Macaca mulatta: one gene and its partners. The protein of the gene in region 1 interacts with the protein of each later gene in a biochemical or structural test. Links are inferred from orthologs where the notes say so. Each region holds a gene or a part of one and is shown in the gene's direction. Other genes may lie near its edges.

Region 1 (3,500 bases):
AGCCTCCCAAGTAGCTGGGATTACAAGCACATACTACCATACCCGGCTAATTTTTGTATTTTTAGTAGAGATGGGGTTTCAACATGTTGGCCAGGCTGCTCTTGAACTCCTGACCTCGTAATCCGCCCGCCTCGGCTTGTAATCCCAAAGTACTGGGATTACAAGTGTGAGCTGCCGCGCCTGGCCCCTGTTTTTAATTCTTTTGGGTATATATTCATAAGTAGAATTGCTTGATTATATGATGATTCTATGTTTAATTTTTTGAGGAACTAGCATGCTAGTATCCATAGAGTGCCTCTGCACCCTTTTGCATTCCCACCAGCAATGCACAAACACTTGTTATTTCTTATAATGGCCATCCTAATGGGTATAAAGTAGTATCTCATTGCAATTTTGATATGCATTTCCGTAATGATTACTTATGTTGAGCATCTTTTGATGTACTTATGGGCCATTTGTGTATCTTCTTTGGAGAAATGTCTATTCATGTCCCTTTTGATTGTTATTGTGTTTGTTATTGAGTTGTAGGAGTTCCTTATATATTCTGATATTAATCCCTCATCAAATATAAGACTTGCAAATATTTTCTCCCATTTTGTGGGTTGCCTTTTCAATCCCTTAATGGCGTTCTTTGATGCACAAAAGTTTTTCATTTTGATGAAGACTAATTTATCTATTTTTTTCTTTCATTATCTGTGCTTTTAGTGGCATTATCCAAATCCAATGTCATGAATTTTTTCCCTTATGTTTTCTTCTAAGAGTTTTATAGTTTTAGCTCTTACATTTAGGACTTTGATATATTTTGAATAGTTTTTAATGTTGTCAATATACTTGATAGGACAACGGAAAATTGGTGGACAGTGAAATGAAATATCTGGGCAGTCCTATTACTGCTCCAAAGTTGGATACAAATCCAAACCTAGGAGAAGACCAGGCAGAAGAGATTTCAAATGAATTAATGGAGTTTTCCCTGGAAGATCAAGAAGCAAAGGTAAAGTATTCTGTGATAGTATCTTTGCATTCTTCATATTCCTTCATTCTGTTAAAAGAAAAACTTGAGACAAATTAAACTTAGGAGAGTTTATTTGAGCAAAAAAATAACTAGTGAATCCAGCATCCCTCATAGCCAGAACATATTCAGTAAAACTCCAGTTTGCCATGTGGTCAGGCAGTATTATGGACAGAAAATAGAAATGAAGTATAGAAAACAGAAGTGAGGTACAGAGACAGCCCAGTTGGTTACAGCCTTGAGTTTACCTCATTTGAACATGGTTTAAACAGTTGATTGATTGTGGTTGACTGAAGCTCAGCTGCTCTGCTTTCCTGAGACTCAGCTTTTTGATACAAAAGTATACTTCTCAATTAGGCTTTCAGTTGAAGTACTAAGTTAGGTTGCAACTTGGTATGTAAAGACTCAAGTACAGAGGCATCCGCAGGCCAAATTTAGTTTAATTAACAATTCATTCTTTTTTTTTTTTGAGACAGATTCTCGCTCTGTTGCCTAGGCTGGAGTGCAGTGGTGCCATCTTAGCTCACAGCAACCTCCTCTTCCCAGGTTCAAGCGATTCTCCCGCCTCAGCCACTAGAGTAGCGCAGCGCCACACCCGGGTAATTTTTAGTATTTTTAGTAGAGACAGGGTTTCACCATGTTGGCCAGGCTGGTCTTGAACTGGTCTCAGGTGATCCACCCGCCTCAGCCTTCCAAAGTGCTGGGATTATAAGCGTGAGCCACCATGCCCAGCCAACAATTCATTCTTGAATAAACAATATTTTATGCCTAATACGTATGAGTCACTCTACTAAATGCTGGAGCTACAGAGATCAACAAGATGTGATAACCTATCTTTATTTATTTATTTTTTTAAATGGAGTCTTGCTGTGTCACCTAGGCTGGAGTGCAGTGGTGTTATCTTGGCTCACTGCAACCTCTGTCTCCCAGGTTTAAGCAATTCTCTTGCCTCAGCCCCCCAAAGCATGCCACCATGCCTGGCTAATGTTTTGTAATTTTAGTAGAGACGGGGTTTTGACATGTTGGCCAGACAGGTCTCAAACTCCTGACCGCAAGTGATCTGCCCGCCTTGGCTTCCCAAAGAGCTGGGATTACAGGCATGAGCCACCGTGCCTGGCCTAACCTATCTTTAGACTGAGGGCTACCTGACTGATAGGTTATCAGGTTACTACAGGAATCTTCTTACTGCTGGTGAACAGGCTCCAGTCAATAGTTTGAGTGGATCACCATCAAAGTAACCTAGTATAAGTAATGTCTCCAGGATAGTAGTAATGTATAGAATATACCTAACATGACTTTTTAGGTATTTTATAATACAGTCTTTTGTTTCCTTTTATCTTTCCCATATCACCGATAGATATACCTGAAGCATGTGGGTTATAGCCTATATGCTGATATGCCAAAGATAGTTTCTGAGGCATTTAGCTTTTTTTTTTTTTTGAGATAGGGTCTTGCTCTGTAGCCCAGGCTGGGGTACAGTGGCACAATTAAAGCTCACTGCAGCCTCGGTCTCCCCAGGCTCAGGCAGTCCTCCCACCTCAGCCTCTGAGTAGCTGGGACTATAGGCACATGCCACCATACCTGGCTAATTTTTTGTATTTTTTGTAGAGACGTGGTTTCACAGTATTGCCCAGGCTAGTCTCAAACTCCTGGGCTCAAATGATTCACACACCTTGGCCTCCCAAAGTGCTGGGATTACAGGCGTGAGCCACCATGCCAGGCCTGTATTTAGCATTTCTAAATCAACTTTGTTGCTTTGAAACAGGTAGAGCTATGAGTTTGTCTTTAAAATTTATTCATTTCACAAGGCCAATATGGTATAGTGGAGTTAGAACAGTTGCATTCTAGTCCTCATGCTTTTATTTTTTTAATTATTTAATTAATTAGATAGAGTCTTGCTCTGCTCTATCACCCAGACTGGAGTGCAGTGTTGAATTCCTGGGCTCAAGCAATCCTCCCACCTCAGCCTCCTGAGTAGCTAGGACTATAGGTGCATACCACCATGCCCAGCTAATTTTTAAAATTGTTTGTAGAGATGGGGTCTTGGTGTGTTGCCCAAGCTGGTTTGGAACTCCTGGGCTCCAGCAATCCTCTTGCCTTTGTTGTGGGATCTTTAGGGTGTTGCTTTTCTGGCTAGAAACCTCTGTGGCCAGTGGTGCCTTTGCCTGAGTTCTTGTCCTGCATCGAGGTACGCAGGCAAGTGGAGAGTAAGCAAGACGAAGAGAAGCTCTATTGAGTGTTAGAACAGCTCAGAGGAGACTCACAGGGGCTAGCTCTTCTCTGTAGGCAGTTTGTCTTATCCGGTATTCAGCTCTCAGCAGAGAGGAGGCCCTGGAGTGGGTGGCTCCTCTCTTCAGGCAGGTCCTACCTGTTGACTTCCCAGCTCTCAGCAGAGAGCATAGCTTCTCTCTCCTTTCTGGCTGTCTGATCTTTTCTCCATCCTCTACCCTGTTGTGGCTGAGCCTGGGGCTTTTATGGACCTCAGAGGGGA
Region 2 (4,161 bases), on another chromosome or scaffold:
ACTGCAAGCTCCGCCTCCTGGGTTCACGCCATTCTCCTGCCTCAGCCTCCGGAGTAGCTGGGACTACAGGCGCCCGCCACCGCGGCCGGCTAATTTTTTGTATTTTTAGTAGAGACAGGGTTTCACCGTGGTCTCGATCTTCTGACCTTGTGATCCGCCCGCCTCGGCCTCCCAAAGTGCTGGGATTACAGGCGTGAGCCACCGCGCCCGGCCAAGATGATCTTGAATAAAGTCTTTCTGGTGTTTGAACAAGTGTGACTGAATAACGTTTTCTTTAATACCACCCTATCTTTTCCACAGCCCAGGTCCCTTCATCCCTGTCTCCCGGTTTATTTTAATTCAACCCCGTTCACACTCTACTCCCAGAGTCTGTCCTATTTCCTTATCAGTTCAGCTCTATCCACACTGCCCCATCTCTCCAAGATCGTCAGCCTCAGGGGAAAAAACTATTTATTGGACCCTTTCCCTCGAATTCTCACTTTTCCCTCAGGTCTCGCCTACAATATTAAGATTTTCATGCTTTACTCCCCAATTTCGGACTACACTTCTGCAGTCCTTTCTTAAATACATCAAACCAACTCTTCCAGTCTCCCGGGCCCTGCCCCTCAAGTACCCCTTCCTCAAGCTCCGCCCCTCGACTTCTCCTTCCCTTTCCCGTAGGTACCGCCCCTCAAATTTCCCTCCCCTCTAGCCTCGGCCCCCCTATTTCCTCTAACTTCAGCGCCCGCCCCTCCAGTCTCGTTCGTCTCCCTTCTCCACACCTCAACGCTGCTTCCCTCAGTCCCCGCCTCTCAATTTCCTCCTGAGAAATCAAGACACTTCTCTCACGCCTGCTCTCTAGACCTCCGCCCCCCTATCGGTCCCGCCTTCTCTTCCGCAAGCCAGATCCGTCCTCCCCTCTCGCAGGCCAGACCCCGACGTCTCTCTCGCCCGGGCCCGTTTCCCGAAACAGTCGCTCGTACCAGTCCATAAGGCTGAAGTAGTCTCGAGTGGGGTCAGGTGCCTGCAGCGCTCTGCACTGTGGGCAGAAGAACCTGTCCTCCCGCCCGGGGCCCCATGGGCCGCCGCAGTTCCAGCAGTGGGGAGAATTGCTTTCCGCCTGCGACGCAGCATCGCAGCTTAGCAGTCTCCTTCTGGGACCCCCTGTCGGCCAAAACCCCCACACCCGGAGCAAAGCCCCGACTCTCCCCCGCCACATCTCGCCGGCGGCCTAGCTAGCCGTGGTCACCCGTGGGGAAAAGCAAAGAGAGCGTCCAACCAGACTAATGCTGCTGATTGGCTGGGGAGTCGAGGGGGCGGGATCACCCGAGGGGAACCCGAGTTCTAAGTTCCGCTCTGCCTTCTAAACTACAACTCCCAGGAAGCATTGAGGCGATGCCTGACGGCCACATCTGCTGCTCCTCATTGGTCCGGCGGCAGGGGAGAGGGTTTTGATTGGCTGAGGGTGGAGTTTGTATCTGCAGGTTTAGCGCCACTGCAGGCTGAGGCTGTGGAGAGTGTGCGGCTCCAGGTGGGCTCACGCGGTGAGTCATATTGGGAACTTCTGTTGGGTGTTTGGTGGTTCGAATCCCATCTTCAGCGTTTCGTGCGAGCGGAGTCTCCTGAGCTTCGCTTTGTCTGTATTTTTGTACTGAAGGGGGAGTGTGTGGGCGACTCTCTTCCTTTTTAGTAGATCATCCTCGAGGTGAAGTTCACTTCCCGTATTACTTACAAGCTGAAACAGGCCTGAACGGACAGGATAAGAAGGAACAGAGTTGTGTTCTTCAATATCAGAGCGAAGTTACTTTGTAAAAAGTTCTATAGATGTTAGTAATCATTGCCATTCTTTAGATTCAATCTCTAAAATACTTATAGAGAGGCCAGTCTTAGCTACTGGGCGCTGCAGGAACTGGAAACGCACTGAGCTGTGTAGGAGGATGTTCTGCGTGTCCCTAAGTAAGTCCCTAAGTAAGTGTATGGGATAGGGTGGCCAGGAGTGGGTAGGAGGGAATCAGTCCTCCTTCGGACTTAGGTTTTCTACTTGAAAAAAAAGATTGTGTTTCACTTGAAAGCCTTCTGGACTTTTTTAAAAAAATTATTTATTTTTGATATAAAGTATACATGTATGAGTACCACATATGTACCTTTTTTTTTTTTTTTTTGAGACGGAGTCTCTCTCTGTTGCCAGGCTGGAGTGCAGTGGCGCGATCTGGGCTCACTGCAACTTCTGCCTCCTGGGTTCAAGCGGTTCTCCTGCCTCAGCCTCCAAAGTATCTAGGATTATAGGTGCCCGCCACCATGCCCGGCTAGTATTTTTAGTAGAGATGGGGTTTTACCATGTTGGCCAGGCTGGTCTTGAACTCCTGACCTCAGGTGATCCACCCGCCTTGGCCTCCCAAAGTGCTGGGATTACAGGTGTGAGCCACTGCACCCAGCCTAATTTCAGTTTTTTGAGGAATCACAATACTTTTGTGATTAGTGGCTATACTAATTTGCATTCCCACCAATGGTGTATGTGAACAGGGCAAGGTCAGACATAACTAGGTCCGTGAACATTTGTGTTTTTCCACAAGATCAGACTTACTGATGTTTTATTTTAATTGTAAAAGCCACGAGCTACATGGAGTTCCCAAGGAAGCAATTTTCTGTAGTACTACCTGTTTACTTGGTAGTCAGAACCATGGGCACACAGGCTGAAGCCATTCCACAAGTCAGTCAGCATTGTAAATTATACACAATAGTATAGTTATTTAATATATAAATGTTATAGGTTAAAAATCTTACATTAAAGTAACATTTAACATTCAGAGAAAAGGGGATAGGGAAAGCGGTTATCAAACCAGTCCAAGGAGAGCAATGTGGACAAAGAGAGTGTTTTGGCTTGATCTGGGGTGTCAGTGTCTTGTAAGGAAGAGTTTTTGATGTGGATGAGCCTTTGGTGGCAGATGCTGGGTGTTAATCGTGAGTGACAGCAAGATGGTGTCTGTTAGGACAGCCATTCTGACCTAATAAAGTCCTGGTCTTATGACCACAAAATTTTCTGGTAAGGACTAATAACAAAAGCGTGTACATGTTTATGTCCTTATCTGGTTTAGTACCGTCTTTTTTTGTTTTTTTTTTTGAGACAGAGTCTCGCTTTGTCTCTCGCAGGCTAGAGTGCAGTGGCGTGATCTCGGATCACTGCAACTTCAGACTCCCTGGTTCAAGCGATTCTCCTGCCTCAGCCTCCCAAGTAGCTGGGATTACAGGCACGTGACACCACGCCCAGCTAAGTTTTGTATTTTTAGTAGAGTCGGGGTTTCACCATGATGGCCAGGATGGTCTTGATCTCCTGACTTTGTGATCCGTCTGCCTTGGCCTCCCAAAGTGCTGGGATTACAGGCGTGAACCACTGTGCCTGGCCAGTACAGTCTTTATTAATTAGACAAACATCTGGTCCCTATTGGCATAATGCCTTTTAAAATACAAGAGCCTTTTTTTTTTTTTTTTTTTTTTTTTTTTTTGAGACGGAGTCTCGCTGTGTCTCCCAGGCTGGAGTGCAGTGGCGTGATCTCGGCTCACTGCAAGTTCCGCCTCCCGGGTTCACGCCATTCTCCCGCCTCAGCCTCCCGAGTAGCTGAGACTACAGGCGCCCGCCACCACGCCCGGCTAGTTTTTTGTATTTTTAGTAGAGACGGGGTTTCACCGTGTTAGCCAGGATAGTCTCGATCTCCTGACCTCGTGATCCACCCGCCTCGGCCTCCCAAAGTGCTGGGATTACAGGCTTGAGCCACCGCGCCCGGCCACAAGAGCCTTTTTCTAAGATAAAATTACTTATGTCAAGAGCACTCTGTACAGTTCCCCTTTCTCCACATTCTTCCCAGCATCTGTTATTGCCTGTCTTTTATTCAAACCATTTTAACTGGGGTGAGATGGTATCTCATTGTAGGTTTGTTTGTTTGTTTGTTTGTTTGAGACAGAGTCTTACTCTGTCGCCTAGGCTGGAATGCAGTGGTGCGATTTTGACTCACTGCATTCTCTGCCTCCCAGGTTCAAGCGATTCTCCTGCCTCAGCCTCCCAAGTAGCTGGGATTATAGACACCTGCCACCATGCCCAGCTAATTTTCATATTTTTAGTGGAGACAGGGTTTCACCATGTTGGCCAGGCTGGTCTCAAACTCCTGACCTCAAGTGATCTGCCCG
Region 3 (4,056 bases), on another chromosome or scaffold:
TTGTCTGTTTCCATCAAGCAGAATGTAAACTAAATGAGGGCTGCAAGCTTGATTAGTTTTATTTGAGATAGTGTCCAGCACTTAGCAGATGCTCTCAATAAATCTTTTGAGGAATGGCATGGTAATTGATTGGCTGGTGCAGAGGGTGGGCAGAGAGGTGAGAGACAAGGCTAGGAGACCTGTGGTCTTGGGCCTCTGTCTCGGGCATTGCGCAGGGGTCTAGGGGTCCACATGGTCCAGAGACTAGCTGCCCAATTGCCCGTGTCTAGCATTTGAGAAAATCCAATTCCCGGCCAGGCGCGGTGGCTCACGCCTGTAATCCCAACACTTTGGGAGGCTGAAGTGGGCAGATCACCTGAGTCTGGGAGTTCCAGATCAGTCTGACCAACGTGGAGAAACCCTATCTCTACTTAAAAAAAAAAAAATACAAAATTAGCCGGGTGTGATGGCGCACGCCTGTAATCCCAGCTGCTTGGGAGGCTGAGGCAGGAGAATCGCTTGAACTTGGAAGGCAGAGTTTGGGGTGAGTCAAGATCGCGCCATTGCACTCCAGCCTGGGCAACAAGAGCGAAACTCTGTCTCAAAAAAAAAAAAAAAAAAAAAAAAAAAAAAAAAAAAAAAAAAAAAGGGCCGGGCGCGGTGGCTCACGCCTGTAATCCCAGCACTTTGGGAGGCCGAGGCGGGCGGATCACGAGGTCAGGAGATCGAGATCATCCTGGCAAACACGATGAAACCCCATCTCTACTATACTAAAAATACAAAAAAAATTAGCCGGGCGTGGTGGCGGGCACCCTGTAGTCCCAGCTTCTAGGGTGGCTGAGCCAGGAGAATGGTGTGAACCTGGGAGGCGGCAGAGCTTGCAGTGAGCGGAGATTGCGCCACTGCACTCCAACCTGGGCGACACAGTGAGACTCCGTCTCAAAAAAAAAAAAAAAAAGAAAAAAGAAAATCCAATTCCCATTCACTTTCTGGCCTTCTGGCTGCTGACCCAGGCCCGCGGGTATTTTCAGAGGAAGGGAATTGGGGACCCCGCAGGAACCCGAAATCTGCCCCTCAAGAGTGTAGAAGTGGGTAGCGGAAGATGTGGCCTGGAGCATGGTAAAAGGGTCCAGTCTCTGCTTGACTGGACTCCTAAACCTGGCAAGGCAGCCCTCAGGCCAGGCAAGCCAGGCGCGAGACTGTGCCTTCCTTCCAGGCCCTAAAGAGGGCAGCACTGGGCCGGGCCCCGGGCGAGGGGGAGGGACACACGCGGTCCGGCACACTGAAAGGGGAGTGTCGGGTGACACGCCTGGGGAAAAGCGAGCGCCGCCCCTGCCTCTCAGCTGCTGGCTGGAACGCTGATCTATCTAGTTGCTGGGGGACGCCCCCAGATGCCCGGGCCCCACTCGGACTTCAGCACACGCCCCGAAGGATGGGGAAAGAAAGAGGCCCCCATGAGCGGGACTCGCAGTGGCCAAGGAGGGGTGAGAAGCGGACAGGGATCAGCTGGCCCCGGCGGCCTGGTCGCACCTGCATGGTGACTAGCTGCCGGGCTGCGCCCCGGGGCGCAGCCAGGAGGCGGGGCCTGGCAGTGCGTTGGGGGGGGGAGGAGCTTCTGGGTGATGTAAGGCCGGGCATGGGAGGGGCCTCTCCTCGACTCGCTGCCAGGAAGGGGGCGGGACTCTTGGTGACGAGACGCCGGGGAGGGGGCAGGCGTTCATTGATAAAAACGCTGGGCTCCCCCGGGCGCGAGCGCAGCGTAGCAAATACAGGCAGCGCCACGCGCGGCCGGGGCCGGGCGGAACCGAGAAGAAGCCGGGCCCGCGCTGCGACGCGCCGCCCGCATGGAGCCCGCCACTGGTTTCCTGTCCCCGCGCCCCTTCCAGCGTGCGGCCGCCGAGCCCGCTCCCCCGGCCGGGCCCGGGCCGCCTCCGAGTGCCTTGCCCGGACCTGAGCTGGAGATGCTGGCCGGGCTACCGACGTCAGACCCCGGGCGCCTCATCACGGACCCGCGCAGTGGCCGCACCTACTTCAAAGGCCGCTTGTTGGGCAAGGTGGGCCGGGGGACGTCCGCGGGGTGGTGATGGTGGAGGTGGGGGTCTCGGCCGGCCTCATTTCTGGCACCAAGCCGGGCGTGGCCACTTGACCCCCAACGCGGGGACGCCCGCGGGCCAGAGTCGGCCCCCCTGGAACACCCAGCCTGACGCCCCCTCTTCACAGGGGGGCTTCGCCCGCTGCTACGAGGCCACTGACACAGAGACTGGCAGCGCCTACGCTGTCAAAGTCATCCCGCAGAGCCGCGTCGCCAAGCCGCATCAGCGCGAGAAGGTAGGTCCAGGCTCAGCGGGCGAGGGGTGGGGTGGGGACGGTGGCATGGGAACCATGGAAGGATGACGACCCTGCGCCCTCATCGCAGATCCTAAATGAGATTGAGCTGCACCGAGACCTGCAGCACCGCCACATCGTGCGTTTTTCGCACCACTTTGAGGACGCTGACAACATCTACATTTTCCTGGAGCTCTGCAGTCGAAAGGTGAAAGATGGTGATACCCGCAGGGATGAGGGTGAAGGAGAGAAGAGAGTCTTAAGACCCAAAGCTCGGGCCTTGTTTCTTCCTCTGGGAGCACAGATGGAGGGGAAGGGGGAGGGAGGGCTCACCAGGGGCTGAGGCAGTGGCTCTTTGCAGTCCCTGGCCCACATCTGGAAGGCCCGGCACACCCTGTTGGAGCCAGAAGTGCGCTACTACCTGCGGCAGATTCTTTCCGGCCTCAAGTACTTGCACCAGCGCGGCATCTTGCACCGGGACCTCAAGTTGGGTGAGACTCCTGAGCCTGGAGGATGGGAGGTTGGGGAGGGAGGGAGGAAGGAAGGAAAGAATCTGACACACCTCTCTTTCCCCATCTAGGAAATTTTTTCATCACTGAGAACATGGAACTGAAGGTGGGGGATTTTGGGCTGGCAGCCCGGTTGGAGCCTCCGGAGCAGAGGAAGAAGTGAGTTTTGAAGAAAGGAGCCTGTGTGTGATACAGATGACATGCGTGACAGACAGTGCATATGTATGTGGGAGGCAAGGTGACTGCTTGATGTGTGCATGAGATAAATGGGAAGGGATGAGGGGCTGTTTATGCATGTGTGAAGGTGGAGGTGGCAGCCTGTGTTACCGGGACCAGTGGAGAGGGGTAGAATCCTATAGGTGTGTGACACAGATAGGGTAGGTGACCCTGAGTCCCTGAGACAGATAGGGGTGTACAGATTCTTGGAGGCATATGACTTACCCTTCGTGTGGATAGGGGAAGGTTACAGGCAGCGTGTGTGTGTGTTTGTGTGTGAGAGACAGACTGAGAGTGTGGGAATGGTAGGATATGACACTGGGTGTAAGAAGACCCTGCTGTGGCCATCGTACTTTGTGTGTGTGACACAGACAGCATATGTGGCAGATAAGTGTTTATGGGGGTTGTGACAGCTGGTGTTGGTGTGTGTGTGGCACAAACCATGGGAGGTGACAGCCTGATGACTGTCTGAGAGACAGGAGTGAGGAAGGGGGAAGGGATCAGCTGTGGACTCTCTGTGTTGACCCTGGAGGAGGGGACTGGGCTGGGGGTCAGGCCCTCCCCCTGTCATGAAGAGCAGCTGAGCAGCTGGGCCAGGCGGGTGGGCGGGGACTCAGCTGCCATCCCTGGCATCCATTGTCCCAGGACAAGCAGGAGTTCTCTGGCCTTTGGTGACAGGCAGCTGCTTTGTCTGGACTCACAGTGGGGGAAGGGGTGGGGGGGCTGCTGGGCTGGGTCTCAGCCTTTTCTCCTCCTCCCCACCCTCTTTCAGGACCATCTGTGGCACCCCCAACTATGTGGCTCCAGAAGTGCTACTGAGACAGGGCCATGGGCCCGAGGCGGATGTGTGGTCACTGGGCTGTGTCATGTGAGTCGCAGGGTCCAGGTTCGGCAGCAGACAGGTGGTGGGTGTGTGGGTGGGGTATCCCCTCCACTTTACTCCTGACCCCTTGGCCCTGCCCTATAGGTACACGCTGCTCTGCGGGAGCCCTCCCTTTGAGACAGCTGACCTGAAGGAGACGTACCG
Region 4 (4,044 bases), on another chromosome or scaffold:
CCTGGAGCAAGAAAGGTCTCAAACATCGCAAGACAGTTGGGATGCCAACGGATCAAAGGGGAAGCAAGCATGACATAGCCACCCACTACAAGGGCTTACCTATTATCCAAGCTTTGGGAACTAGGTTAGAATCCCAGCTCTGTCGCTAACCAACCTGTGTACTTTAGCCAAGTCACTGTACCTGTCTAGACTTCGGATCGCATGTGTGTCTGTCCATCTCACAGGGTTACCCTGAGGCTAAATGAGGTAACAAATGTCATGAACCTACAAGGTAGACTTGACTCTCGGTAACAGTTAGTGTCACCCCCATCCCACACTACTCTCCCTCTTCGGACCCTGCACCCATGGATTCCATCCACCGCTGGCCAGGAGCTGAGTAGAGGCACCGAACACGTGAAGAGGTGAATGGGCAAGGAAGGTTTCTAGGTCAGGTAGCATTTCCAGGGTTCCCGCCTGCAGGCGTCTACCGAGTCTGGCCCGAGGCTGGCACCCAAAGATGCTTCCAGTCTCCAGCAGCGACGCACTGACTGTAAGAAAACTCTGCTTATAAATTCCGCACAGGCATTTAGGAACTGGTCCCTGGGGGCCTCTACAGATTCATTTCGCCCCCGACTCCATCCCCTTTGTGCCACCCTCGTTATTGCACTCTTCCATCCGGATGGCATTTAGCTGGGTCCAGGTCTGTCACCCGCCTGACCACCAGCTCCTTGAGGGCAAGAGGCTCCTGCTGCCCTCGGAGTCCGGCCCAGCCCGCAGCTGCTCAGATCCGGAGACGGGAAGGTTTGTGGGCGAGAGCCTGACGCCCGGGTCACAGTTAAGGATGCAAGAGCCCGGCTCCTTCCCGTAGCCCCGGCCCTGTCATTAATGCTGGGGCTCCAGTCGGTGCAGCGCAGTCCGAAGGATGCAACCGCAACTTTTGTGCACAGTAGGCTCTCGATCTGTAATCCAGCCAACCCAGGCCTGTAGTCTGTAAATGCCAACTCAGCGGGAGGGCTCTGGCTGTCGCCCAGGGCCGTTTCTCGGCTCTTTCGGGGTTGCCGGAGCGCTCCGTACAGGAGGAACCCGCCGCCCGCGGTAGTCAGTGGAGACCCGGCCAGCGCTTCCCCGCCCTCTTCACCGCCCCCGCGGCGGGGTCTGGGCCAAGTCGCCCCTAGCAACAACAGCCGGGCCGGCTTTCTCAGGCCACGCTGATTGGCGGGACTCCGGGAGGCGGCCTGTCGTCACTTCCGGCAGCCGGAGGCAGCAGAGGAAGCCGAGGAGCGGCCATCTTGGGTCCGTGAGGCTCCGAGGTGCCGGGGTGCGGCGGCAGCAGCGGCGGCCAGCAGGGCGGAGGCTGAGGCAGCAAGCTCGCTAGAGAGGGAGAAGCAGCCGGGCGCAGGCGCCTCCTCCGCAGCCCGCTCCATGGTCAGCGCCCACAGCCCGCGGCGGCCTGTCTTGCGCTCCACTTCCTTCACATCCTCCTCCGCCTCCTCTTTTTCAGACGCCGCCGGCGGCGCTGTGTGGAGGCCCGGGAGCTGAAATTCGCGGCGCGACGGGCGGGAGTGGAGAAGGAGGCGAGGGGGCCCGGGATCGCGGGGCGCCCTGAGGCGAGGGGACGCCGGCGGGCCGAAGCCGGCAGCTCGCCGCAGGCTCGGCTCCGCCACTGCCGCCCTCCCGGGCTCCTCGCCTCGGCCGCCGGGGCAGGGAGAGAATGAGCCCCGGGACCCGCCGGGGGACGGCCCGGGCCAGGCCCGGGATCTAGACGGCCGTAGAGGGAAGGGAGCCGCCTTCCCCACGGCGCCGCTTCGAAACTGCCGTGGACTCGAGGACGCTGGTCGCCGGCCTCCTAGGGCTGTGCTGTTTTGTTTTCGCCCTCGCATTGTGCAGAATTAAAGTGCAGTAAAATGTCCACTAGGACCCCATTGCCAACGGTGAATGAACGAGACACTGAAAACGTAAGTAACCTGGGCGTTGTAGTTGGCGGACCTTCGGGGTGGCCTTCGTGCTCCTCGGGCAGTGCCTTGCAGTCGGGTGTTCCCCCCCAGCCCGAACGCTCTGGAAATAGAGGGCAGGCCGTAGTCACCCAAGAGGCAGCCAGGTCGGACCGTTTCCTCCAGAAGTCCGCCCTGTCCCGCGGGCGGGTCCACGAAGTATATCGATTATGCCTGCAGTCTAGTCGATTAGTAAAGCCCATAAGTTGCATCGTTACGAATCGGTGCTTTGAGAGGCCGGGTTGCCGCTCAATGGATTGTGCAAGTGTGCGTGTCAGATCACTGCAGTGGTCAGTGCTTATTTTAACCGAACTCTGCTTTTAACTTGGTCAGGCATTTCTTGAGAGACTATCATATTAATACCATATGTACTGGTGCTGATTAAGAGTAATCGATTGAGTCAAGTGGGCTGTCTCGTTCTTTTAAGATGGAACTAAATTTAATCACAGTCACTAAGTGTCTACTGAGGGATCTTTGCGGTCCCCTTAGGAATTCCAAAACACTAGCGCGCAGCCTTTATTAAGGCATAGGTTCCTTTCCATACAAATCTTTTTTGAAGGAGTTAAACATTTTAAAAAGCAGAAAAGCAGATGTATAGTGAAGTTGTGCTCTGCCACTCACTGCCTAGCTGAGGGACACCCGCTGGGGCTTCGCTGTCCTCCTTCCTAAAAAGAGGTTGACTTAGATGAGCTCTTAGGTCCGTTTCAGCGCTCACAGGCTATGATTTTATAAAAGGAACCTTTGATTTTGTGCATGTGAAACTACAAAATGCCAGGAACAGCATTGCTAGAGAATGAGAACTTGTAGTAGAAATGCCATTGAAGAAACGTTTGACAAACTCTGTTCGTTTTCTGAACTCTCCTCTAACACTGGCTTCAAAAGTGTTTCAATCTAGTTGTTTCCTATATTCTGTAAAACGTCTAGTAAATAACTTGTAAAGAAACTTCACTGGCCTTTCATTAAAAGTGTTATGAGGTAATTGCTGGCACGAAATGTCTTCTCTTAGGGAATGCTTCCTTGCTTTGAGTGTTTTCATGCTTTCAGTAATGTCCTGAGATGTTATGGCCTAGTGGTGTCAATGTTTTAATTTTGATCTTCAAAAATGCCACTTGTTTGCTGGATAGCTATTTGATAATTTAATCTGTAAACGTAAAACCATAGCCTAAAACATCCCTGTAGCATATTAGTGTATAATATTTAATGCTCTTTAGCCCTTAGTGAGTAGAACAGTGGTGTACCTTTCTCCACCTGAGAGAGATTAGAAAATTATATAAAGAGCGAGTAATAGAAACTCTTAGACTAGGTGAGTCAGGGAACTATTTTCTTATGGTCCTTTTAAAGAAACCTTTTTTTGTTTTTTTTTTTTTGAGACAGACCGAGACTGTCTCCCAGGCTGACTGTCTCCCAGGCTGGAGTGTGGTGGTGCGATCTTGGCTCACTGCAGCCTTCGCCTCCCAGGCTGAAGTGATTATCATGCCTCAGCCTCCCGAGTAGCTGAGATTACAGGCATGCACCACCACGCCTGGCTTGCATTTTTGTATTTTTAGTAGACAGGGTTTCACCATGTTGGCCAGGCTGGTCTAGAACTCTTGGCCTCATGTGATCCACCCGCCTCGGCCCCTCAAAGTGCTGATATTACAGGCGTGAGCCAGTGTGCCCAACTGATTAGTTTTGATCATTGATATTCACTCAGAGAAGCAAAACTTTACGTTGAACCAGAGTAGGAGCTCCATGCTTTCTAAACTGAAGCCAAAAACAGTCATAGCAGATTTGTGATAATGAAGGATTTCAAATGGGTCTTCTTTCTCTCTTTCTTTTTTGAGATGGAGTCTGGCTCTGTCTCTCAGACTGGAGTGCTGTGACACGATCTCGGCTCACTGCAACTTCCACCTCCCAGGTTCAAGTGATTCTCCTGCCTCAGCCTCCTGAGTAGCTAGGATTACAGGCATGCGCCACCACTCCGGGCTAATTTTGTATTTTTAGTAGAGAAGAGGTTTCTCCATGTTTGTCATGCTGGTCTCAATCTGACCTCAGGTGATCCGCCCGCTTCGGCCTCCCAAAGTGCTGGTATCAC

The links.
Region 2: of the proteins of CDC25C (region 1) and CHEK2, one has a biochemical effect on the other in vitro, tested with the Homo sapiens proteins (14 studies listed by BioGRID). The link is inferred for Macaca mulatta from reciprocal best matches to the Homo sapiens genes CDC25C and CHEK2.
Region 3: of the proteins of CDC25C (region 1) and PLK3, one has a biochemical effect on the other in vitro, tested with the Homo sapiens proteins (2 studies listed by BioGRID, with this or other methods). The link is inferred for Macaca mulatta from reciprocal best matches to the Homo sapiens genes CDC25C and PLK3.
Region 4: of the proteins of CDC25C (region 1) and MARK3, one has a biochemical effect on the other in vitro, tested with the Homo sapiens proteins (3 studies listed by BioGRID, with this or other methods). The link is inferred for Macaca mulatta from reciprocal best matches to the Homo sapiens genes CDC25C and MARK3.

Annotation. Positions count from the first base shown.
Region 1 is NC_133411.1:147,180,834-147,184,333, reverse strand, and holds part of CDC25C (M-phase inducer phosphatase 3), read left to right. Parts: intron 1-838; coding exon 839-991; intron 992-3,500. UniProt on the Homo sapiens protein: Functions as a dosage-dependent inducer in mitotic control. Tyrosine protein phosphatase required for progression of the cell cycle. When phosphorylated, highly effective in activating G2 cells into prophase.
Region 2 is NC_133415.1:22,810,395-22,814,555, forward strand, and holds the start of CHEK2 (serine/threonine-protein kinase Chk2), read left to right. Parts: upstream 1-1,361; 5' UTR 1,362-1,523; intron 1,524-1,537; exon of another isoform or gene 1,538-1,935; intron 1,936-4,161. Other genes in the region: iron-sulfur cluster co-chaperone protein HscB, read right to left, coding at 963-1,198. UniProt on the Homo sapiens protein: Serine/threonine-protein kinase which is required for checkpoint-mediated cell cycle arrest, activation of DNA repair and apoptosis in response to the presence of DNA double-strand breaks.
Region 3 is NC_133406.1:195,835,004-195,839,059, reverse strand, and holds the start of PLK3 (serine/threonine-protein kinase PLK3), read left to right. Parts: upstream 1-1,256; 5' UTR 1,257-1,370; coding exon 1,371-1,463; intron 1,464-1,730; exon of another isoform or gene 1,731-1,823; coding exon of another isoform or gene 1,824-1,865; coding exon 1,866-2,033; intron 2,034-2,199; coding exon 2,200-2,307; intron 2,308-2,395; coding exon 2,396-2,512; intron 2,513-2,665; coding exon 2,666-2,795; intron 2,796-2,884; coding exon 2,885-2,972; intron 2,973-3,801; coding exon 3,802-3,897; intron 3,898-3,996; coding exon 3,997-4,056. UniProt on the Homo sapiens protein: Serine/threonine-protein kinase involved in cell cycle regulation, response to stress and Golgi disassembly. Polo-like kinases act by binding and phosphorylating proteins that are already phosphorylated on a specific motif recognized by the POLO box domains.
Region 4 is NC_133412.1:176,804,146-176,808,189, forward strand, and holds the start of MARK3 (MAP/microtubule affinity-regulating kinase 3), read left to right. Parts: upstream 1-1,244; 5' UTR 1,245-1,404; exon of another isoform or gene 1,405-1,480; 5' UTR 1,481-1,883; coding exon 1,884-1,934; intron 1,935-4,044. UniProt on the Homo sapiens protein: Serine/threonine-protein kinase. Involved in the specific phosphorylation of microtubule-associated proteins for MAP2 and MAP4. Phosphorylates the microtubule-associated protein MAPT/TAU. Phosphorylates CDC25C on 'Ser-216'.